Neodiprion lecontei: one gene and its partners. The protein of the gene in region 1 purifies or fractionates together with the protein of each later gene. This does not show direct contact. Links are inferred from orthologs where the notes say so. Each region holds a gene or a part of one and is shown in the gene's direction. Other genes may lie near its edges. The genes, in order: zinc transporter 1, xyloside xylosyltransferase 1 and protein-L-histidine N-pros-methyltransferase.

Evidence for each region.
Region 2: the proteins of zinc transporter 1 (region 1) and xyloside xylosyltransferase 1 purify together in Homo sapiens (co-immunoprecipitation; 3 studies listed by BioGRID and IntAct, with this or other methods). This does not show direct contact. The link is inferred for Neodiprion lecontei from reciprocal best matches to the Homo sapiens genes SLC30A1 and XXYLT1.
Region 3: the proteins of zinc transporter 1 (region 1) and protein-L-histidine N-pros-methyltransferase purify together in Homo sapiens (co-immunoprecipitation; 3 studies listed by BioGRID and IntAct, with this or other methods). This does not show direct contact. The link is inferred for Neodiprion lecontei from reciprocal best matches to the Homo sapiens genes SLC30A1 and METTL9.

The regions. Positions count from the first base shown.
Region 1 is NC_060265.1:6,758,844-6,766,099, reverse strand, and holds the start of zinc transporter 1, read left to right. Parts: upstream 1-3,229; 5' UTR 3,230-3,334; coding exon of another isoform or gene 3,335-3,439; exon of another isoform or gene 3,440-3,602; intron 3,603-3,939; exon of another isoform or gene 3,940-4,220; intron 4,221-4,377; exon of another isoform or gene 4,378-4,390; coding exon of another isoform or gene 4,391-4,411; exon of another isoform or gene 4,412-4,493; intron 4,494-6,388; 5' UTR 6,389-6,403; coding exon 6,404-6,580; intron 6,581-7,256. Other genes in the region: mitochondrial inner membrane protease subunit 1, read right to left, coding at 2,155-2,322, 2,571-2,768, 3,335-3,439. UniProt on the Homo sapiens protein: Zinc ion:proton antiporter that could function at the plasma membrane mediating zinc efflux from cells against its electrochemical gradient protecting them from intracellular zinc accumulation and toxicity.
Region 2 is NC_060263.1:38,559,996-38,567,424, forward strand, and holds xyloside xylosyltransferase 1, read left to right. Parts: upstream 1-3,165; 5' UTR 3,166-3,407; coding exon 3,408-3,800; intron 3,801-4,347; coding exon 4,348-4,821; intron 4,822-4,947; coding exon of another isoform or gene 4,948-5,057; exon of another isoform or gene 5,058-5,447; coding exon 5,448-5,654; 3' UTR 5,655-5,800; downstream 5,801-7,429. Other genes in the region: tripartite motif-containing protein 2, read right to left, coding at 58-279, 346-465, 531-835, 910-1,049, 1,141-1,386, 4,948-5,057. UniProt on the Homo sapiens protein: Alpha-1,3-xylosyltransferase, which elongates the O-linked xylose-glucose disaccharide attached to EGF-like repeats in the extracellular domain of target proteins by catalyzing the addition of the second xylose.
Region 3 is NC_060262.1:21,742,688-21,750,050, forward strand, and holds the start of protein-L-histidine N-pros-methyltransferase, read left to right. Parts: upstream 1-3,318; 5' UTR 3,319-3,495; coding exon 3,496-3,678; intron 3,679-7,363. UniProt on the Homo sapiens protein: Protein-histidine N-methyltransferase that specifically catalyzes 1-methylhistidine (pros-methylhistidine) methylation of target proteins.

The DNA.
Region 1 (7,256 bases):
CCTTTTGATAATGTTCGGTTAGGTTTTCAATGGCGTTAACTAAAGCAACATTTTGCGTATTCCATAGCATGAAATTCACTCATTTAGCAAACAAATTTGAAGTGCAAGTTTTGCCGATACACGAAGTAACACCGAATCTAAACTACACTTCCTTGTGCGTCTCACTTCCTTCACGCACCCAAATGATTAAAATGGTCAAATTTTCACCAGGGTTATAAGAAGCGCTCTTCGTTTGTGCGGTGCCTCGTTTTATCCTTGACACATGTCCTTGACATTGAATGAATTTACTGTATGAAGAAATATAGCTCAGCCCAAAGCTACTTTAGAGCCATCGACGTTAACAAAAAATATACAAGAATATTAAAAATGCATTTAATATTAGTACACGTTTCGGAAATTGTGATGCGCCCAAGTAAAGATAATTCGCCGCCTCTTTCATGGGTAAACCTTTTGCCGTGACTGAGTTATTCCTTAAAGCCATTCAGTAGCCAATCAAATTGTTAGACCAAAATTCTCGAAAGCCCATTCGTTGTCGTTTGATGCGTGACCAAAAGACGTTGGCCACTTTTCCAACCGAGGATAAAGTCACAAAATATCCTGGTTTCGCTTCAGATTATCAGATAAAGTGAATAAACAGTAGAGTATTTCCACACTGTAGGTAGATCGTTGTTTTATTTGTTACGTTCTTTGGTCGGAGTTTGAAATAAATTGGAATCCGACTCCGAGACGTATTCTCGGTGTCGTCTTTTTATAATTCCGCAACACGCTGCGACCTTCATTTTAATGGATCCTCAACACTGATTTACATGCACCCATGTCTTAACATTACATTTTTTGAAAGTAATTATCCACACTGTTTACTGTCTTTGCGATAAATGGAATTTGTTTGGCCGCTATATTGAAGAGTGGGTTTTCTCTGAATCTTGACCTACCGCATATATATTTAAGCTGTCATCGTATTTGGCTCTGTTATTTTTAAAGAAAAATGCCGTTTCGAGATAAGCTACATTAATCTGCTTCCTTATCTCGCATTCGATGTGTTAGACTCACTGTTCTACTGACTAATGTATATTTATTTCGTATCATAGTACTGCGTTATTATTTCAAATGTTCACAAATTAATCATCATTGCAATATGCATTGACTGAAGATTATGATCTTCAGTTAACGCAATGTGATATTCTCACATCAATTATTTCAATTGAAATCATTATCTGTAATTTAGAAGTACTCATTAGAAATATGTACAAAAGAAATGGGAGATTTGGATACATTGTAAGTTGACTGAAGATTCTTATTTTCGGAAGTTTCGTACCAGCCGATAATTACTGCGGTACTCTCTCTGTACCGCAGCTTATCGACGTGCAATTACCATATCTACCACTTCAGAGTGCAGTGGTCTGGCACCTCTGGCACCAACATACCATTAGTTATTTCGCAACCGAACTTACATTCGTGTAATGCTATGTAGTATGTATTGTCTTCATTGTTAAGTTTATTTCTTTAACTTCAACCCACACGTAGCTGGCCCCTTCAAGCCCAATCGTCTTGCACTGATGTAGCCACCGGTCAATCAGGAGTCTTTTCCAGAAACTCATTCCGCTATTGAAGATTATTTCAAATCAGACTGCTGTAACGTTGAATCATTTTTAGACACCAGAGAAAAAGGAACTAAATTAAACGCAGAACCAATTGAGACTCCAGATAATTCAGAATACACGAAATTACGAGCAGTGCAGATCATTCTAAATCATAAAACGATCATATTCAGTAACTTCGAATGTTAGTAAAATTAACGTGATTCCGTTGGTGAATCACATAAGTAAATAACACCAGATTGAGACAAGCTGAACCAACTATCAGCTAATTTTTGCTCTAGATACTCCTTATAAGTATTTAAGTCTAACAAAACGGTTATCTGTTTATTTTTCTGTAAGAAAATGTAGAAGATTAGGGAAGGATAGATAACAAAGATTTAAGAAACATATTTTTACTTCTAAATTGCATACATCTTATGCACAATTACTGCTACCGTGGAATATATGCATTATATAATGGCCAGTAATGTTCGGTGCAGAAAAATATGAAATGAATACAAGTAATCTAGGTAACGAATACACTGCACTATTTGCTTGTATTAGTTAGGTACATGTTTCACTTGTGGTGGGCGTAATTCGTCGTGAACACGGTAATATTGCTGGGCGGCCAAACTTTGCACATTGCACGACCTCGTAACAGGGCCTGTGGAACGGGGCCGTACATACGAGAATCCGATGAATTGTTGCTATTATCACCTTCGAGCCAAACATGACCAATAGGTACCTGAAAACAGTAAACAACAAACACGTATAATACGAGCCATGCGTCGTCGACGCTCTTCATTATTCCGATGAGCGCTCGGATTTCTGTTCTCAAAAAATACAAAATTATTCAAAGAGCAGTAACTCCCCAGGTTCGTCATATTTTTTAAAATTTCTTTAATACGTCCAACTTTTTAACATTTTGCCGCTCGCGTGTACATTTTTTAACGTGTTGCGTGAGCATTGGCATGTCAACAACACAGAACTCACGATGTAAGTTGAAAAGCCGTCATGTATTTTGTCTCCTGGGACACCAGTCACCCGTTTGCAAATGTGTTGACATGGGTTCGATGGGCATTTTGCGATAACTATATCTCCTCTGTGTATACGTTGTAGTCGCGGTGATACGTGCTCCGTTAGTAGTACATCGTTACTGTAAATTGTTGGCTCCATGGAAGGCCCTGTACACTGAAATACGAGACAACAATTACTTAGAAAGAAAAACAAATTAGTAAAATGAGAAAATAAAATGTAGGGGAAAAGAAGTGAACCACAATAGGAAGGCAAGATAATTTGCATGTATCATCGAGTTAAAAGTCAAGAAATAGATAATGAGAAAGTTATTATATACATGGTGACTCAGGACTATCACTTCATAGGCTGTCGATATTTATATAAAGAACACATTATTCCCATTTGATGTTTTACCACAGCTTGTTTATGATTCGATTCCAAATTACAAAACATCGAAAAGTCGAAGACAACGACAACTTCTTGTAGTTTAGAATGATACGAATTATCGCGGCAAAAATCTATTTAGACGAAGACTGGTGACATCTGTTTTGCGCGGTCGGCAGAGTAGGACTTGAGCGACGATACTTCATTTAGGACCAATCGTTATTGCGTGCGGTAATTCTAGATATCGGCAGAGGTTCAACGGATAAACTCTAACCTCAAAGTAACATTAGTAGTGTCAGATTATAATGATATAATGGACGCATTTGCAGATAACAGTAGTTATAAAAACAACTTACCACGACAAAATCACCGACGTATTCTAACGCACAGTGAGTTACGCACCCGTATTGTAATAAAGTACCTATCGTGCCCAATATCTTGAATGAAAATTTATTCAACATTATTCGTGAGTATGAGTAACATTATCGTCTTGAATATTTAACAAGTTTAAATATTGGCCTTGGCTTGTTTATACACGTTCAAAAGAAAAAAAATGCAAGATAAAACTTGAGCACAACACTTAAAATCTACATCGGTGGACCAGGCACAGGTCTCGACAGATTGGTAAGTCACGTGGATATCAAAATTTTGAAGTCGACATAAACGAGAAGAAGAAATTACAGCTGGCATCATACGCAGCTTATAAAGGAGATCAGTCTCAAATACAGTTAGCGTCAATAGTTGTTTAATTATATTCGCCCGATGAATAAATTACGCAACGCTATTAGTTTTATTCTTATATCAACAAGGTTCGAGCTTGTGTTGAATTCATCGACAGAACGGTAGAACAGTAAACAGAAAATTTGTGATGTATGCATGCGTGTCATGAGCTTGACGCTGCGAATTTCACGAATACTTTGTGAACACATAAGCGGCACTGAATTTTCTCACCGAGTTTCAGAATTCAGTTGGCTGTGAGTTACCATTGATGTATTGCGGTTTATTTTCTATCCTCGTTGGGTGTCCAACAATGGATTGAATGTAGTGTTTTAAATTGCTCTTCATAGAGTTTAATGTGTTTTTTACTAAAAAAAAGTATTTTGTACTTTAACCAATAAATGAGTCCCGTGAATATATCATGTTTGGATACTACATTTTGTGGGCAAAGTTTTTCAACTCCATCATTTTATACTAGTACCTTATAGTTGAAATAATTTTACAAATTACAAATAATTCTTCAAGGTGAGTGTGCAACAAAATATCTGTCGTTACAACATTATTATTTCATATCGTCAGTTGAAAATGAGTAGTGTTTTCAATTGGATTTCCACTAACGTTTTCCAAACTAATAACATAAAAATAAATCCGGCATGTGCCATTATTTTGCGTCTCATGTAGTGATTCATACGTACCCCTTCACTCCTATGAATCATTCCTTCTTTTCTTTATGATGATTGTCTCCATCTGTGCCTGTAAGTTGTTGATAAAAAAATAATTACCTAGTTTAGATTGCATGCCAACTTTTATACAGCAATTAAAATCAACTTATTTAATTAACTGCGTCAAAAGGCTAAGTTCGATTTTAAATTAGATTCTGTGTATTTCTCAGCTATCTATTAGTATCTAAGATTGCACGAGCATATACTCTGTAAGTAGGTGCTGATTACAGTCTGATAATCGTCTATGTCATGACCTACATTTCTACGTCACCAATTCCACGCGCTCGTTAGTCTTACCCATCACCTCTAATCACTAATTTAATTGTTTGAATATGTGTCATTGTGATAACTGGATGTGTAATCGGACATCACATGTATTTAACAATAGCAGACGTTGACCTTTGTCCATTCTGCTAATCGTCATCTAAAATTGTATGTATAACAATGTTTGATGATTATTTGATCAGGTATATTCTAAATTAAATCGAATTGATATCATCTGTATATGAAAGCATCAAATAATTGAATTAAATATATATCCAATTGCTTCCAAAGTTTTGATCGATCAAGCTTGATTGAAAACCCAATTTGTCACTCATACTGAGTTTTGATAACAAGTTCTTATGTGGTGAATGAATCTTGGTAAGTTAGCTTGATGTTAAATTATGTGCTGACCTATATTTACTTAATTACCATAATCTTACCATAAGAACTTGGTATTGGTGATTAGCTGAACTTTTGATCAAGCTCGATCGATCAAAGCTTCTGGTACAGATTCCTAATGTATATTCGACGGCATATCACAATATCGCTAATTCACTAATCTTCTCAGATCTGTATTACTTCTGAAGATACTGGGTTACAATTCTCAAATGCAGATAATAATTTTGAGGTCAGAAAAAATTGAAGTAGCTCCTACTGTATTAACAAACTTCATCTGTATGTTGATTTTGCTGTAATCCACATCTCAGCAGAGATATTGTACATAATACGGCACAGAAATCTCTGGAAAATATATAACACATGAGATTTGAATATTTGAGCTTGAGAAGCTTAGCATTTTTTATATTTCTTGATCCAGAGTTCGAATCTTTGATCTCTTATTTCCATTCCAACATCACATGACTGTGGTCGGCTGAAATATTTATAGAAGTCCTGGATTATCACTAAAAATAATATAACGAACGGAACAAAGAACCAGCCTTTGATACTTTCCAACATACATGTAATGCACAGGGTCATTTTTTCGTTGCTGATTACGACCCTTCAGTGAGAGAGAGCTGCTTCTGCAGGTCCTAGCTGGAACGGTTGCGTTAGTCATACTTATTTTCAGCAACGAAAAAATGACCCTGTATAACTATGTACAGTCATTATGCTTCTTAGCTTTCACCAGTTGGTAGAAACTCCAGTTTGTATTAAGGTGTTAGTCGGTTATGTGCAATTGTGACAAGTACGTAGGTCTTGATAAAATTTTTAATGAAGATATGAGCTTGATTATTTAGAGCACTGATTAAAACTTACATGGTCTCATTGTGTCAGTACTCAATTGATCATAAATCAAATATGCTGGTAAAGCCCAGCAGTTGATATTTATTTAAATACAAGGATTCCCTATAAGCTGTGTATTCATGTATTCAAATCTAACGAAAGTCACAAGGTTGAGGTTAGTGACCTTGACGCAATGAACACTGAAAGGAAAATCAGAATTTTTCTGCCTCAGAATAACTTTGAAAGCGTAGAATGTGCAAATTCTAAGTGTGTTAATACTTTATCACAGTTTACTAAACTTCAGACAAGACTGAAGTTGAAAAGTAATGTGCTTTTTGAAAAATATATTGTTAAATTAAAGTTACAAACTTCAACCTTGTCCAAAGTTAGCTGCTATTTAAATAAATAGTGTTGAACCATACTTATCCTGAAATTAAGATATCTGAAATTGATAAATAATACTGGTTTCATACTTTTTTCCAGCATTTAATAACAACAATGGGCCGTTATACTGGGAAAAAATGTCGACTGCTAACAATGCTGTGGCTCACTTTTATCTTCTTTTTGGTAGAAATAGGTTTTGGCTATTTCACCAACTCGATGGCTTTAATAGCTGACAGTTTTCACATGCTGTCGGATGGGCTTGCTCTAGTAGTGGCATTCCTCTCGGTGAAGGTAAGAAAACCAGCTACTGATTATTGCTGAAAAATTCATGAAATCTGACTGTTGAACTCAAATTACTCGCTGATGTCGGCACAAATTGAACGTGGCACTTCGCATTTCTGTTCTATTTATACTTAAATATAAATATTCACATGCGACATATGTGCTTGCAAGCTGCTACCGACATTTTTACAATACACAGTCAACTGTTGAGCTGTATAAATTTGTGATAAAACATTTATTTCAAACAATGCTTTGTTATTATAATCAATTGGATACTCCGATCAATTGCTGCATACTTACAGTAAGGTTGCGATCAAGACGCTCCGCATACAATTGATAGCCAATAATAACTATGAGTGCTTTGTTTTATTTTTGGTCTCATTGAAACCAGAGCGATTGACTGGTAGTTAGGGGAACTAAACTTGAATTAAATGAAGTTGATGATAGCAACATGACAGCGATGACTTTTTTTTTAGAATAACTCGTTATTTTAAAATTTTACAATTATTCGAAATTCACTAAACAGTAACATAGGGTGGCCACGCAACTGGAAAACCTGAAAAACCTGGAGATATCAGGGAATTTAAAAGGAGTCATCGAAAACTGGGAATTGTCAGGGAATTTTTCTTCGTTCATGAAAGAAACTGAAAACATTACTTTTATACCATGGCAATTAGAAATCATT
Region 2 (7,429 bases), on another chromosome or scaffold:
GCTTTCCAGGAATTTGTATCCCCAGTGTTCGATATTCGTTAATAATTTATGGCTCACCTTCTCCTGATTGTCGGCGAGAGTGTCGAACTTGAAGCATTGATAAGCATCGACCTCCTCCTTTGTTCTGATTATCTTCCCTTTGAGCTCCTCAGCGAGATGTTCACCCTTTCTGGCCGATTCCTGGACTTGCTGTATTCTCTCTTCGCGCTCCTGCCGCAGTTCTCCGATTCGCAACTCGATGTCACGATCAATGTATTCCATCAGCTGATCAACCCTTGTCTGTAAAAATGGTTAAATCGATTATTTCAAGCAGCCCAATTACCGCATCACCGTTCGTTCACTCACCTTGTAATCTTGAATCCTGTGTTGAAAGCGATCCGTCGTGTTACTGAGCTGCTCTGTGATGTTGCCGAGTTGCTCTTTGAGGTCGTCCATATGGGCGACCCAGCAAACGCTGCAAAATATCTGGAAAAAGGATCGACGTTAAGCTAGTTGCGCTTTCAGGAGAACGGAGCCCTGCGATCACTCACCTGTTTGCAGTGTTTGCATCTATTTTCTCTCGTGCACGCTGTCTCGCATTTAACGCACCGGATTTCCTGGACCACAGGCTCCGGCATAGACATCAGTGAAGACGGTCCCTGGACGAGGGAAGACGGCTGATCTACGCAGGGCGCAAAGGTCACAACAGGACTCGAGAAGACCAAGTGTTCCAGACTCTCGCCACCAACGTTTCCCATCACTCGCAGAAGATTCTCGATGTACAGGTTCGTTGGAAGGTCACGAGGCACCGATTCGACCACCGTCAACTTGCAAAGCGGGCACTTGATCGTTCTTCCTGCAGGGAATACCATCATACTCAATCACAAAGTTTACGCCGATTAAAGAGTCTGTCGCAATAGTGCCGCCCACCATCGTTTCCCGAGTAGTTAAGCTGCTCCTCCAAGCATTCGAGGCAGAAGGTGTGCTGGCACGGCATCATGCGTGGTGTACGAAGTCGTGCGAGGCAAATGGGACACTGTAGTAGGTCCTCGATCGCCCCAAGGGAAGTTCTGGAATGGTTTAGGAGCATAAGAGAGGTGCAAAGTACGTAGAGATCATTGCGCGTTTTTCGTTAACTTTATAAGCTGTGAGTGTCCGAACCCGTGAGATTTCCTTGAATCGTTGTTCCTGAGTTCCACCGTCGGTTGTTCAATGGCGGATTGACTGGAGTTGAAAACTGGCCGGGACTTGGATGCCTTGGGATCGGGACCCAGGATGAAGTCCGCTGGGAGTTCCGTCATTTCCTGCATTATAGCGCTGGACTCTTCGTGGTTTTCGACCGGTCGAGGATTTGTCGAATCGTGAGAAAGTGGCCTCTTGAATACCGACTTCCACTTCGAAGTCATTCTGGAAACGCCAATCTCTATATCAGATCAAAAACAACAGTACTAGCCAGTAGTCAGCACCACCTCAATCTTATCAATTATGAATTGATTCGGTATCAAGTTATTATCGAAGAAGCATTTTTTCACGTCAACGCGACGAAATGAGAGGCACAATAAACATAATTTAGTATGATGCATTTGTATACTCTGTGACATGCGATAAAATGTGTGAAAAAATTTAGCTGGGTGTTATCCGTACGTACTTTGAATATAATTGATTGTAAATCGTACTGAATTCCTGACTAAGTACTAGGTCAAACCGTATTATGGAAGACTAGAAAAATAAAATATGATAAGGTACGTTTTTTTTTAGAGTATTTTTGTAATCTCTCAAATCGCGCTACCTGCACTCCAAAAATTACGATACTGACATCACGATCCATTTATGGTTTTTGAAGATATACAATCCCAACTCAGAAAGTATAAAAAAGCCAATATTTTCTCTTCCATTGGCGACAATGCAGGAATCTCAAATCGGAATGGAATCGTAAAGTTTAAATTAATCTTACCCGGGATTATTGGCCGCTGTCGGCCACGGGGCGTCTTTTACAGTCGATTTTAATGTACAGCAATAAGGTGAATGTATTACTGTACTGATCCAAAAGTTCTTTCGACGCGGAGGATACTGCTGATATCTCGATAAGCTAGATGTGATGAAAGACCGTCGAAATAACGGGACTGATTGTAACGTCAAAGGAAACGATATTTTCACCACGATAACAACGTTATCAAGTACACTTATATCCACTAATCAGAAGATAACTTAAGAAAAAGTTGCTGTCTGTGTACAAGACAGGTTATCAGATCCAATAATCGATCGTATCACCATACTTTGAGTGTCAGCAACACTTTATACTTGAAAATGCTTTTTCGTGTAATTACCAAACGGGTTTACAAGTGCATGCACACACCATATATAGCGAACGCGCGTGTCAACGCGGTTATATCGGAATATGCGACTTTCGTTTATCAAACAGAATCAAATGCTGCAGTTTAATTCAGTACAGATTTCTTGCGTCAGTCGGTAGATTTAAAAATACAAAGTATATTTGTGTTTGAGATTTTTATATGAAACTGGCTTCGTGATCAAGCAATCGAATTATCGTGGACAGTCGAAGCTTCACAGCAAATTTTGAATTAAAGAAATCTCGAGACTTCCCGCGTCTGAAATTTAATTAATTATTAACTTGCGTGTAAGATTTCAGGTATTTTGGTAGTCGATATCTCTTGATTACAGCGCGTGCAGTGTTAGAGCCATTCGAGTTATTTGTGAATTCAATATTATTAAGGAACAAGCTGCTTTGACAAACTAATAATATTGATCCTAATAAATGATCTGAGCAAACATTTTATGAAAAAGTAGCAAAAAAGTTTCGAATTTCTCTGTTAAAAAATCAATTTGGTTTTTTTGAATTACCTTATAATATTGTAAATACACTTTCTTCTTTACGCGGAACAAAATACCAACAAAAATTATAGATCCTTCTGTGATAAAGGGTGCGTTTTGCTTCCTAATCTTCGAAAATGTTAGAACAAAGCTACTGATTGGCTGATTCTTGTAATATTGATCAATCAGACGAGTCTATCGGTTCTTTCGTTCTCAAAGTGTGCCAAATAACACACATTCAATATCGCTAGGAACGGGAAGGAATTCGAAATTCTTTCAAACTCTCTCGAAGTTCGAGATAAATCGAAAAGCGATAGAATTGATCTTAAACCAGACTCGACGCTCGAACGGTTTGACGTGTCGCCATGTTTGTTTTTCGGTCAGCGGATTGAAAATAATAGAATGTAAGCGATGAGGAGAGGAGCCTATTAACGTATGCAGTTGGAATAAAGTCTGCGATTATCCGTGGCTAATTACCGCGCGATGGTAGTGGAAATAAGGACGTTCATAAATGCATCCTCGCGGGGTGAAATTCGCGTGTGATCTGCGTGTAATAAACACGTACAATTAATGCCAAGCTTGGATTTGGTGGTTAAATGGGTTTGCTACACAAAGTGCTAGTGAATCTGACAGTTCTCGCCGTATTCCTGATAGTCTTTTATTGCTTCCAAACGCCGAGTTCCGCCCCAGCGACATTTTATCGCAATACAGAACCCAGAAATGAACTTGCAAAAACACCGAACGTTTCGTCCGCCGTAGCCCTCGCATCTCGGAAGGAAATAAATGACGAGTACTATAATGTGTGGTGCATATTCACAAAGGTTACGTCAAACTCTCCCCTGAGGAGGAAATTCAAAATATTTACCGCCTCTATGCTCAAACTGACCTCCGTCAACCTCGCTTTTCACGTCATCAGCGATCCAGCTAGTCGCGAAATCGCTGAACCCCTTATTCGGGGAGTCATCGCCACGTCTGGAAAATCTATGAAAGTATGTACTTTTAAGGATGAATAGGATCGACAGTCCGCATCAAAATTCAAGAAAATAGAAAGAACCGTTTGCAAAAATCTCCAGCGATTTCACCTGCGTCGTTACTAGTGATCACGAACGAAGGGAAAATTCTCACTACGCGATAGAAATTATTTTCATCAAATTCAAATAAAATCAGCTAAGATATCAAGAATTTGAGAAAAGGTTTTACTATTTTAACATTCCAAGTGAATAAACTTTGGTGCTTTTGATCCGATTCTAATATTTTGTGGCTTATTTTGTTCACCAAGAAGACCGCCAGAAATTGCTGTAAAAAAATCTATTCCCTAGCTTTCGATTCAGACTGTTGCTGTCATTCATTCTTATATTCATTACACACATCCTCCACTTACGGGATCTTTTCATCTTTGAATTTGTATTTCAGGCAGAAATTCAAGAGTGTAACTTAAAGAGATATGAAATTTCTAGGCGCACTTACACCCCTCGAAAGTTCTATAAATTTGAGTGAACCTTGATTACCCAGTTTTAATTTGTGTAATATTTTCAGGTAACGTACTACGACGTGCATGTGCTGGCTAAACAACTGGAGGATATTGTGTCGACAATGTCGCCGTACTTCAGCAGTAACCCAGGAACCTACTACTCTGACGCGCTCTTCTTTCTTTCTCTTGGACTGCACAGGATAGCGCCAGAGAATCAAAAGAAGGCCGCCATGTTTGATGCGGATACAAAATTTCGAACAGACATCAAAGAGCTATTCGAGGAGTTTAGTAAATTTGGACCTGAAGCCTTGTTCGGCCTAGCACCTGAACTGACTCCCGTCTATCGGCACGTTCTTTATTTATACAGAAGCAAAAACCCTGGCACCTTGTTCGGAGAACCTGCTTACCTAGGCGGTTTTCCAGGGTTTAATAGCGGTATGGTACTTTTCAATTTCGAAAAGTTGCGAGAATCTCTGGAGTACGATAACATACTCAGCATGGACAGCGTCGACCATATGACCCAGAAATATTACTTCAAGGTTTGTACAATCCTGACTGTTTTCACAATTACGTCAAGGTATTTTCGAAATGTTTTTATATCACTTGGCATTGTGAGAAAAGCGTGGAAAGAGAATAAATTTTAGTACCTATTTTATATCGCTCACCTGCTGGGGTGTTTAATTTTTTTCCATATTGGCTCATCTTTGGGAAAAAACATTGCCACACAGTAGGGAAACATTTCGTCGGATTCTCTGAAGCAAATATTTGTCGACATGTTGAATAAATTCTTCAAGCACCTTGAACTCCACAGACATGTGCAACAAAAGTAACAAATGTTTACAACTTTCTATTTCTATTTGATTCTACGTTAATCACTTTGCACGTTATTCAATAATCCAGTTTTGAAAAACGTTGACAAACTTGAATTATCTAATCGCAAGCAACTTGAATAGTCATTCACAGTCGAGGCACACATCTGTGAATATAACTTTCATCTGCTTTATATCTTCGTATCTACACTGATAGTGGGCCATTTTTTCTATACAAATAATAAAATTTGTAAATACATCCAAATTCCGACTGTTCCTAATCCTTCAGGTGGTGGTGTTGTGGTAAATTTTGTTTACGTTACATTGCAAGCTTGTCTCCTAATTTCATTTTGCAGGGTCATTTGGGGGATCAGGATTTCTATACTATTCTGGGTATGGAGCGGCCTGAATTGATCCACAAGGTGGACTGTGGTTGGAACAGGCAGCTGTGCACGTGGTGGGGAGAGCATGGATACTCCGATGTGTTTGCCAACTATTCTCACTGTGATGCAAGAGTCAAACTTTGGCACGGTAATTGCAACACGGCAATTCCTGATGATTAACTGCAATGAGTCAAGCAATTTTAAATAAAATTCAATAACTATTTAAGTATTATGGCAAATGAGATAAAAGTTTGTTATTAAAAATGTATGGACGCACTAGAGATATTTTGTAAAAAAGTAAAACGTAATTATAGTTTATATTATATATATATATATATATATATATATATATATATATATATATATATATATATATATATATATATATATATATATATATATATATATATATATATATATATATATATATATATATATATATATATATATATATATATATATATATATATATTATACATACACACACACACAATCGACTCTGTTTTAACACTTTTTTCCCTATGCTTCATTTCCTTTTCTATATTAGTTGAGGTGTTCTTTTCAACTATCTTGCCTGGTGAAGGTAATATCTTCGTTTTTGCGATTTAAAGTTTTGGAAAATAAGTTTCATCAGGTTACATTTACGTGAATTATTCAATGTTTGATACATCATTTTTGATTAACTTTAATATGACTATCAGTTATAAGATTTATAACTTACATAAATAGATATTACATACAGTTCTTTTTTCTTGTTTTTTTTGTTTTCTTTTTTTTTTCTTTGTTAGTTGTATACAGGCTGAAATGAAATACAGTATCAACATAATAATAAGTTTTCTTTCATCATCATCAACACAATATATTTACAGAAGATAATAGATATGTTTTAATCTTTGCTTTTTAAGGGTGCTGCCTCTTACGTTGACCTTGATCCTGTCAAATCTAATACTACATAGCAAACAATGGCATAATAAACGTGGACACAATCGTATTCATATGTAATTATTACATATAAAGACTATTTATGTGTTTCATGATAACTTCTTAAATTTACACAATGAATCTCATTAGAATCGAAGCATCGAACAAACGATAGTTGCGTAACATATAATCATAATTTCATATCGAAAAGTCTGCTGGATTCGAACATAATAAATCAATGTTTTGCGTTTACTGCCGTGTTTTACAAAGCAATTTTTTGGATTGCAAAATTACAATCGAAGTAAGTATATGCAACTGTTTTCTGTTAATGTTTAAATATAACTGGATCATCGGTTCTAACTAACTAACTACGGATAAATATATGCAATGTTTAGTATAAGTGTTAGTTAAATAATTAAATTGATTATATCACGCATTATGTACGTACGCATCGTGTGGTAATCCTTAAATTAATATATTATACATTCACCATCAATTTTATAGAATTATTGTCAAATGTAACAAAATGACGCTTTGGTAGAACTAAAAAACAAACTATATGTATATCATGTGTATATAATAATAATAGACACTTCATGTGCATGATTGTCCTTTCGTTAAATATAATGTATATAACGGCGAATGTTAATGACCATAAAATAATAACTGAAAATAATAACTCGTACTTTTTTTTAACACACTTTTTTTTCAATGCTTTTTCCCTCCTCGTTTTTCTAGTATAAGTAAATTCTGTCTGGGTACAAAGTTTTACGCTTTTACTTACGTCTTCTCAGTCGTCTTGCGAGCATTATTTTTCGAATAATATCGCTCCAAAGTATCCTATACAGAACATGACTAAATACACACCGTAAAGTAGCACCTAAAGTGGAAATAAATTCACCACGCGTTAATTCAATATTAATTCAATATATATATATATATATATATATATATATATTTTATATATACTACGTACCTGTATATGTATATTATATACACACATGAATTCCTTTACTTTATGATACATACACGTT
Region 3 (7,363 bases), on another chromosome or scaffold:
TCAAGATTCGCGACTAAAAACGAAGAAGACTTTTATATACCTGTATGTACACATATATACCTACGTTAGGCCGATCGAGGTGTCAGCAGCGGTGAAAAATTCACCAATTAAAAAAAAAATCTCATTTCTCGCGGTAACGAGAGGGAGAAAAATTGGGCGGAGGCGGCGGGGGACGACTGGCAATTAACGTCAGGGACGAAAATGATTTATGGGGAGGGGGAGAGACGCGCAGCTTATCATAAATTAATGAATTATCATTACGGGAACGCGAGACGGCGCCGCGAGGGTGGCCGGAGCTGGTTGCTCCAGGGGGTTGATGCCCGCTCGGAGGATTCGGGGCGGGGAACGACAGCATCGATACAACGACTTCTGAAATATTCATCACTCAAGAATCCCATTAAGCTTCTTCGTTACACTTCGCTCATTTTTATTACATCCTTCGTTGCACCCGGAAATAAACAAACGATAACCCTAAATTGCCGCTACATGGCACGTTTCAGTTATTGCCATCTTTGACCGTTAATTCGAGGGTGCAGGCTTGAAATTAACGAATCTCATTTCTTCCCCATTACATTTTCGCCAAATTCTTCCTCATCGCTTCTCAAACGTAGGAACGCCAAACGTCGGTCACAAAATATGACAAAGTGCACCATTATTCAAGGTGCTTCTAGAGCTTCATCGAAAACCCGTGGTAACCGCAAAAAATCTTACACGGTTGACAAAATAAACACTACGCTCACGTAAATTCTAACAATTTTATTCTTCGCGATGATAGGAGAAAAGAAACAAAATCTCTGACAAGAAGTAACGAGTAGGTAAGATGCCGAGAAAATTCCTGTAGTAAATCGCATGATTCGCTTCTCCGATGAATATAACTAAGACGTGATTTTTTAAAATCTTTTTTGTTTCATCCTCCGAACGCATAATTGGTGCGTGAGAATTTCCCAGTATAATTTCTCACGCGCCTATACCTACCTACGTAATACCAACTGACCGACCGCCGAAAAAGCCTATACCTATGGAGAAATTACGATCGAATTTCTGAGTAATTACGCAGCATTCTTGAGTAATTATGAGAAGTTGTTTTTTAGTCCACGTCTGAAGCCAAGGGGAAGTACTTCGTACACTTCACCTCGGAAGCGTTCCTTCACCTCCTCGTCCCTCCTCACCCTCTCTCCTTTCGCTCTCTCTCCCTCGTCTCTTTCGGAGCGCAATGGAGGGGGCGAATCAAGGTCGTCCGTAAATTAACCCGCACGCGGTAGAATCCAGAATATAATACTCACTTATTTCTCGGAGTCGCCGCAGGTTCTACATAACCCACACGCGTCGTGCGCACGTACCTGGCGGCCTTTACGCCACCCGGTACATTTAACTGCCTCTCGAATGACGTTCGGGCGTATGTCTACGCTCGTTGCATGCTCTTATTTTCGAACGACGCCCAAGACGCCGACTGAAACAGTAGACGCCATCCCCTCGCCCATTGTTGGCCAATTTCACGCGGGCCAAGCCGTTAATTACCAAAGCGCAGCTTGTCCCCGTCCCCAAGGCGAGAGGACCCCTCTAGCCAAAACAACATCGCCGAGGCCTAACGCCCTTGTTTCGAACGAACCTCTCTTAGTTTCGCGCCACTTTTCGAATCTCCACTGAGAAAACAATTTATTTTGTTTCACCAAACGTATATTTGGATATGGCGAAATAAACGTTTAGTTATTATCATCAAATTTTAGTCGAGCCAAGTATGATTTTTAAACCATTAACAAGTTTCTATCGATCATTATTTGGCTCGACTGAAATTTGATAATAATAACGAAACATTTGTTTCCTCGTATCCAAGCATACGTTTTTCAACAGTGAATAATAAACTTTTTTCTCAGTGTCCTTGATTGACGAAACGGCTCATTTTGTCCGTTAATTCACTGACAAGAGAAATATCGAGTGAAAACAAACTGTATTCTACATAGAAAGTTTTGTGAGATCCAACGTGGTTTGATTATCCTCAATCCTAGCTATTATCGGTAATGCGAGGAGGAAAATTGGGGGTTAAAAAGTACAGACGATGAATTGAAAAAAATTTAATGGCCTCGCATCGCACGCGAGTCGGGAAAAAAGAACGAGTAAAAATGGAAAAATTTTTCCGGCTACCGTGAACTGCAATAAGGAAAGCATAAAACTTTCTCCCTCGTCCGCGGCACGCTCCCTCGGGATTTCGGTTAAAGGGGAGGCGACGCGTTGCACGGGAGCAGACGTCGTACCTTGGCTGATGACCTCGTTGAAAAATATTAATGGACCGCTTGAAAACACCTCAAGAAAAATTATGATGGAATTCAATATATGTACTGCGTAGTTAGAGGTATGCCTACTTTGAGAAACGCAAGACTGTTCCTCGACTTTTTAATAGTGATGCAAAATTATTTGATGATCTTAAGGTATCGATTATTGTGGCGTTAGATTAATCGATTATTATTCGAGTTTTCAGAAATTCGATTATTATCGAATCGATTCTTTTTCTATACGAATCGATTAGTTATGACGATGGGAGTCATTTAAGAACAATTTCCTGTAAAAATGTAATGTTATTTTCTCGTAATTCATGAAACAAAGTCATTTGCTATCATCATTTTCTGATTACGTGGAAAAAGTAGTAGAATACTTCAAAATAACGTTTATTTGTTGCCAACAATGGTACACTGAATAATAGTATTAACGCTGTCAATAAATAGCTCGTTTGTTTCAGTTAAATGTTTTGTCGATTATGAGGAACCGATGCTATTTCCATCCAATATATCGATTCGCAAAATCGGAGATATAAATATAATTGATCGATTTTCAGATCGGTTCTTTAATTTTCTCGCACCACTGCCTCTTGAGTCAGTGTTCAATTACAATTATTACATACAATTTCGATACAAGAAAAACTTGCGGCGAAAATATTCTTGTTTTACCCATTTTAACACCACTAATCTTAGCGTATCTCATAACATTTCCCAGCTCGTATCTGTAAGTACGACCAAGTATCTAATTGGGCCCTTAAGGTTTACCTTACAATTAATGTCGCAATGAAATTTCGGGACAAGTATAAAAAACGCGACTTTCTCCTTGTAAACGGCTTCTCAAAACCTCAAACAACGACACGATAGCTCGATCCGTCTTCACAAAGGTGCAAAAACGGGAATACAAAGCGAGTAACATCGTGTCGGTGCCGCGCGTGATTCAAACTCGGGAATCCTACAGCGGTCGGTAATGCACCGGACCCCTGGATTACCGACGGAGCATAAATCGCCGCGGCGCTGTGGGTGCAGGCTACAGCGTGAGATGGCGGTTAATCTGTCAACATGGCCACGTGCCGACGAGGAGAACGGTCTTCCGTAGAGTGATAGAACGCGGATCCGGCCCGTGTCCTTCGGTATTTAGATAAATCCGGATAAGCCAAGTCGCGGCCAGGATGGCCAGGTGCAGAGGGCGCGTGGACAGTGTCAGTACGGAGCCACCCCGCGAATGGGACACATTTACGCGATTCTACTAGCCTTGGCAGCCGCCCAAGGACCCACAGCCGCGTTGTCATCGGACCGAGGAAGCGGCGCAGTCATGAAGAGTTACCGACCCCGGGGCGGAATCGCGCGGATGATATACGACAAGCAGAAGGCGGACGAGCGACTTCGCGTCTACGACAAAACCCAGGTGAGGAGTCAAAACCGAGCGAACCGAGTAACCTCGGAATTTTAAGATGCCCCGTTCTTACGGAGGAACGATCGCAAAGCTTCGGAAATTCCCGTCCGTCTGCGCGTGCGCGCGCAGCCCCGCGCTTTCCTCGTAGAACCGAGTGGTTCGACTAGGTGTGAGATAGGGTCGATCGAATGTGTGCGTGAGCGTGCGTGTGTGTTCGTTCACAGCGTCCTGCGTCAACTGTCACAGGGCCGCAGGCGCGCTCCTGTAATCCAAATGTTTGAATTTCGAACACAATGAGTTGAATTATTCGCGCTCGATTTGTCGGGTGTTTCTCGGGGAAAGGATAATTTCGGCGGCTCGATTTCCGAATTCGACCGCGTGCGAACGAGACGTCGAATTCGCTGTGGCCGTGGGGAACGAGAGATGTTTGAGAGAAAAAAACGATAAAATAGAAGGAGAACAAAAAAGGAGTAAGAATAATAACAATGTCCGAAAGAGTCGAGGGCGCGCGTGCAGCGGTTGTTGGAGGAAAAGATTCGATTTTAAAAGAGGCGAGGATTTGCGAACGGCGAGGAGCCGGCGGGAAGGTGGAAGTTGGAAGGTGGAAGGTGGAATGGGGGGGCGGGGGGGGGAGGGAAGGAGGCACGCCGGTAATAATTAGTACAATTATCGTACAAGGCCAACCACCGGTTCCCCGACGCGGCGCGTCCTACGCCCTGCGTGAGGTTACGGATGTATGTATCCGCGGAGAAAGAGCAGGAGAGAAATAGCGAGAATGAGAATGAGAATAAGAATAAGAGGCGGCCGGGCTTACCTGCCTGTCTTGTGTGCCCTCCAGAGGCTCCGGAGCGGTAATTATGCGTAATTACGTCGTCGATATTCCTGAAACATCTCTCGCCGCTGCTTGCGCTGCGGGCCTCTCGGACTCCCAGCCTATTTATAATTACCCGCTGCAAGGCTTGGAGTAAAGACTTTCCAATTTGCACCGAGCCAAAGCTCTTGCACGTGTGGTGCGCTCCTCTATACGTAGAACGCGCGTTACCGACGCACCGAGGAAAGCCATTCTTCGATGAGGGAAATAAAGAGGGAAAAATCGAAATAGGAGAAAATTAGCGGGAGTCGGGGAATCGCGCGGCGGCCTCGATTGCAAACTGCAAAGTCTAACTAACCGTGACGGCTCCTTTGCTCGCGCGCCGTGTGTGCCTTGCCTTTCCTTGCCTTTCCTCGCCTTGCCTTATACAACCTTCCCGTATATAACGAAGCAGTTCACGCGAAAATACATCCCCCGCTGCACCGCCGGGCTACGGGTCGGTAGCAGCACATCACATCGCATCACATCAGATCGAGAAGAGAGCTTGCGCCTGCAAAGAATATCAAGTTTCTGATCGAGCCCCGGGCGAGGGATTCAGCGTCTCTGTGTCTCTGATGTAGACACTTGAGCTGTACCCGTTACCCGGGCTCGAATTGGGTCTCTGGGTGTATTTATCATTTCATTGGAACTCACGATCAGCGACATCCGGTCGCAGGAAATTTAAATGTCAGGATACCCGAATTCAATTTTATAAAAATACGTTTTTTTTTATCATGTTCTTCAACCGATGTGCGTAGCTTGCGCGGACTTTTCTGCTCCTATCGATACTCGCAAAATCCGGTTAAAAACACTGGACTATTTCGCAGATTTCTTACACTACAACGGCATTTGCATGGGGATATGCATCCATCTGCTTAAACGGTTCTTCATCGACGGAGTAAAAGAAAGAACAATTTTTAACTGGCTCTAATCGCGATATAAATTGACGATGCGGGGAATATTCTTCATCCCAAACTCCGATCGTGATAATTAGATATCTATATATATATATATATATGTATATATTCGATGTTTTATATTTACTTGGGATCCGGAGCTAACGACGATATAACACGCACTTTGCACCGTTTCGGGATTAGGCTAAACCCTTACTCGAGACCGTTACGGGTTAGACGTTCGATAAGCGGTAATTAATGATCATGCAGTAAAGCTGTCTGCTTGCTCGTTTCTCGATATATCCCGGTACAGAACGCTCCGACTTCTACGGGCCCCGATATTCACTCGTGTGTGTAAGTTTGTATTCTACGTACGTAAAAGCCCGTTGACACAATCTTGTATCACATTACGTGCTATCGGATACGAAGCATAATCGTAGTAGTATAATTTATTTTTGCCAATCGTATCAAAGAATTATCCGTCAATGTTTGCGGCTGGAAATGAAATCTTGCAGCTTTGCAAACTTTTTGACGCGTGCGTGTGGTGACAAGTTTATTTAAAAAAAAAAAAATTAAAAAAACACAACCACAGGGCCAATGATTTTTAAAATAGCAAAAAATATCCTTGAATTCTTGAGAAAAATACTGTTTATATCCGGTTTTGATTATGTAATTCAGTTTGAAGTTGCAACGATTCAAATATCCCCACCTCAAACCAAAACAAGTACTGTGAGTTGACATTGAACCTATTTGTACATCACGTGGTGTCCACCTTCTTGGATTTACACCTCTCACTGCGAAACTATCGTCAGAGCACCACGTGCAAAATTGCTTTTCCTAATACGTGTCTTTTATTTTCGTTTTCTTCCTATAGAATTTAACTTCGATAACGTGTAAAATAATTGACTAATCCGAAGATTCCGTTTTACATAATCAAATCAGAGATGTATAAAACATCAACTATGTGTGGTATCTTCAACAATATAATTACATGAATCTACGGTTCAACGAACCTGTCGCGATCACGGATACCATCGATTGATCTGCTTAGCTGGTAGTAAAAGATAAGTGAATAATTGTTAACAAAACAATTCAAGAAATTATAACGACAAAACTTCGATGAAAGAAATATAAATTGATACAAGAGACTATTTTAAAATGAATGAAGAAAAAGAGAATATTCAAAAAGGAATAAAGAATAGTTCGAGAAACAATTTTAATGAAAGAAAAACGATATGTATTTCCAATTTTAATCTGTTTCACCTGCTGATCGATAATTTACGTACTTTGTGAGCGAATGATTGAATGGATACACGAATGAATATATAGTACGTTTTTCGGTTATTGCTATAAATTTATATAACAGAAGTAAAAGGAATATTTACAATTTTCGTAATCTATTACATAAAATTTGTTCATAATTTATATTCAACATCTAAACCTATATTTACAAAATTCTTTGCCTACGATCATACACGTAATTTTCCAAGTCAATTTGATCGAGGAACGCATATTGCTGGGTAACCGAACCGTCTTTTTGGAATAAAAAAAAAAATTCCTAAACCTTGTCACGAATCAATTTTCGCCGCACACCGTAACCCGGATAAAAATCAGCATCGGCGAATCGAGGATGACGATTTTTCAGGAAATTCGGTTGGCTCGAGATGTGCTATATACTCGTATATATATCGGCGGGGCCCCGAGGAGCCTCGCCCGGATGCCCCAGTCTCGGGCTCGTCGCCTCGGTTCCCCCTGGAGCGCCATCCATCACTCACTTAATATTTCAGTGCGCCTCTGCCCCTTTTTAAAACCTTAAAACACCATGGTGTAGCGTTGCCGCGCACATGCACGCGTTCATCTTACACCCCCGCGTGTTTATGTGTAGGTACATGTATAACAACACACTTGTCCAACCTGAGAGCAAAGTTCTCTGATGCCGGACTATGCTTAA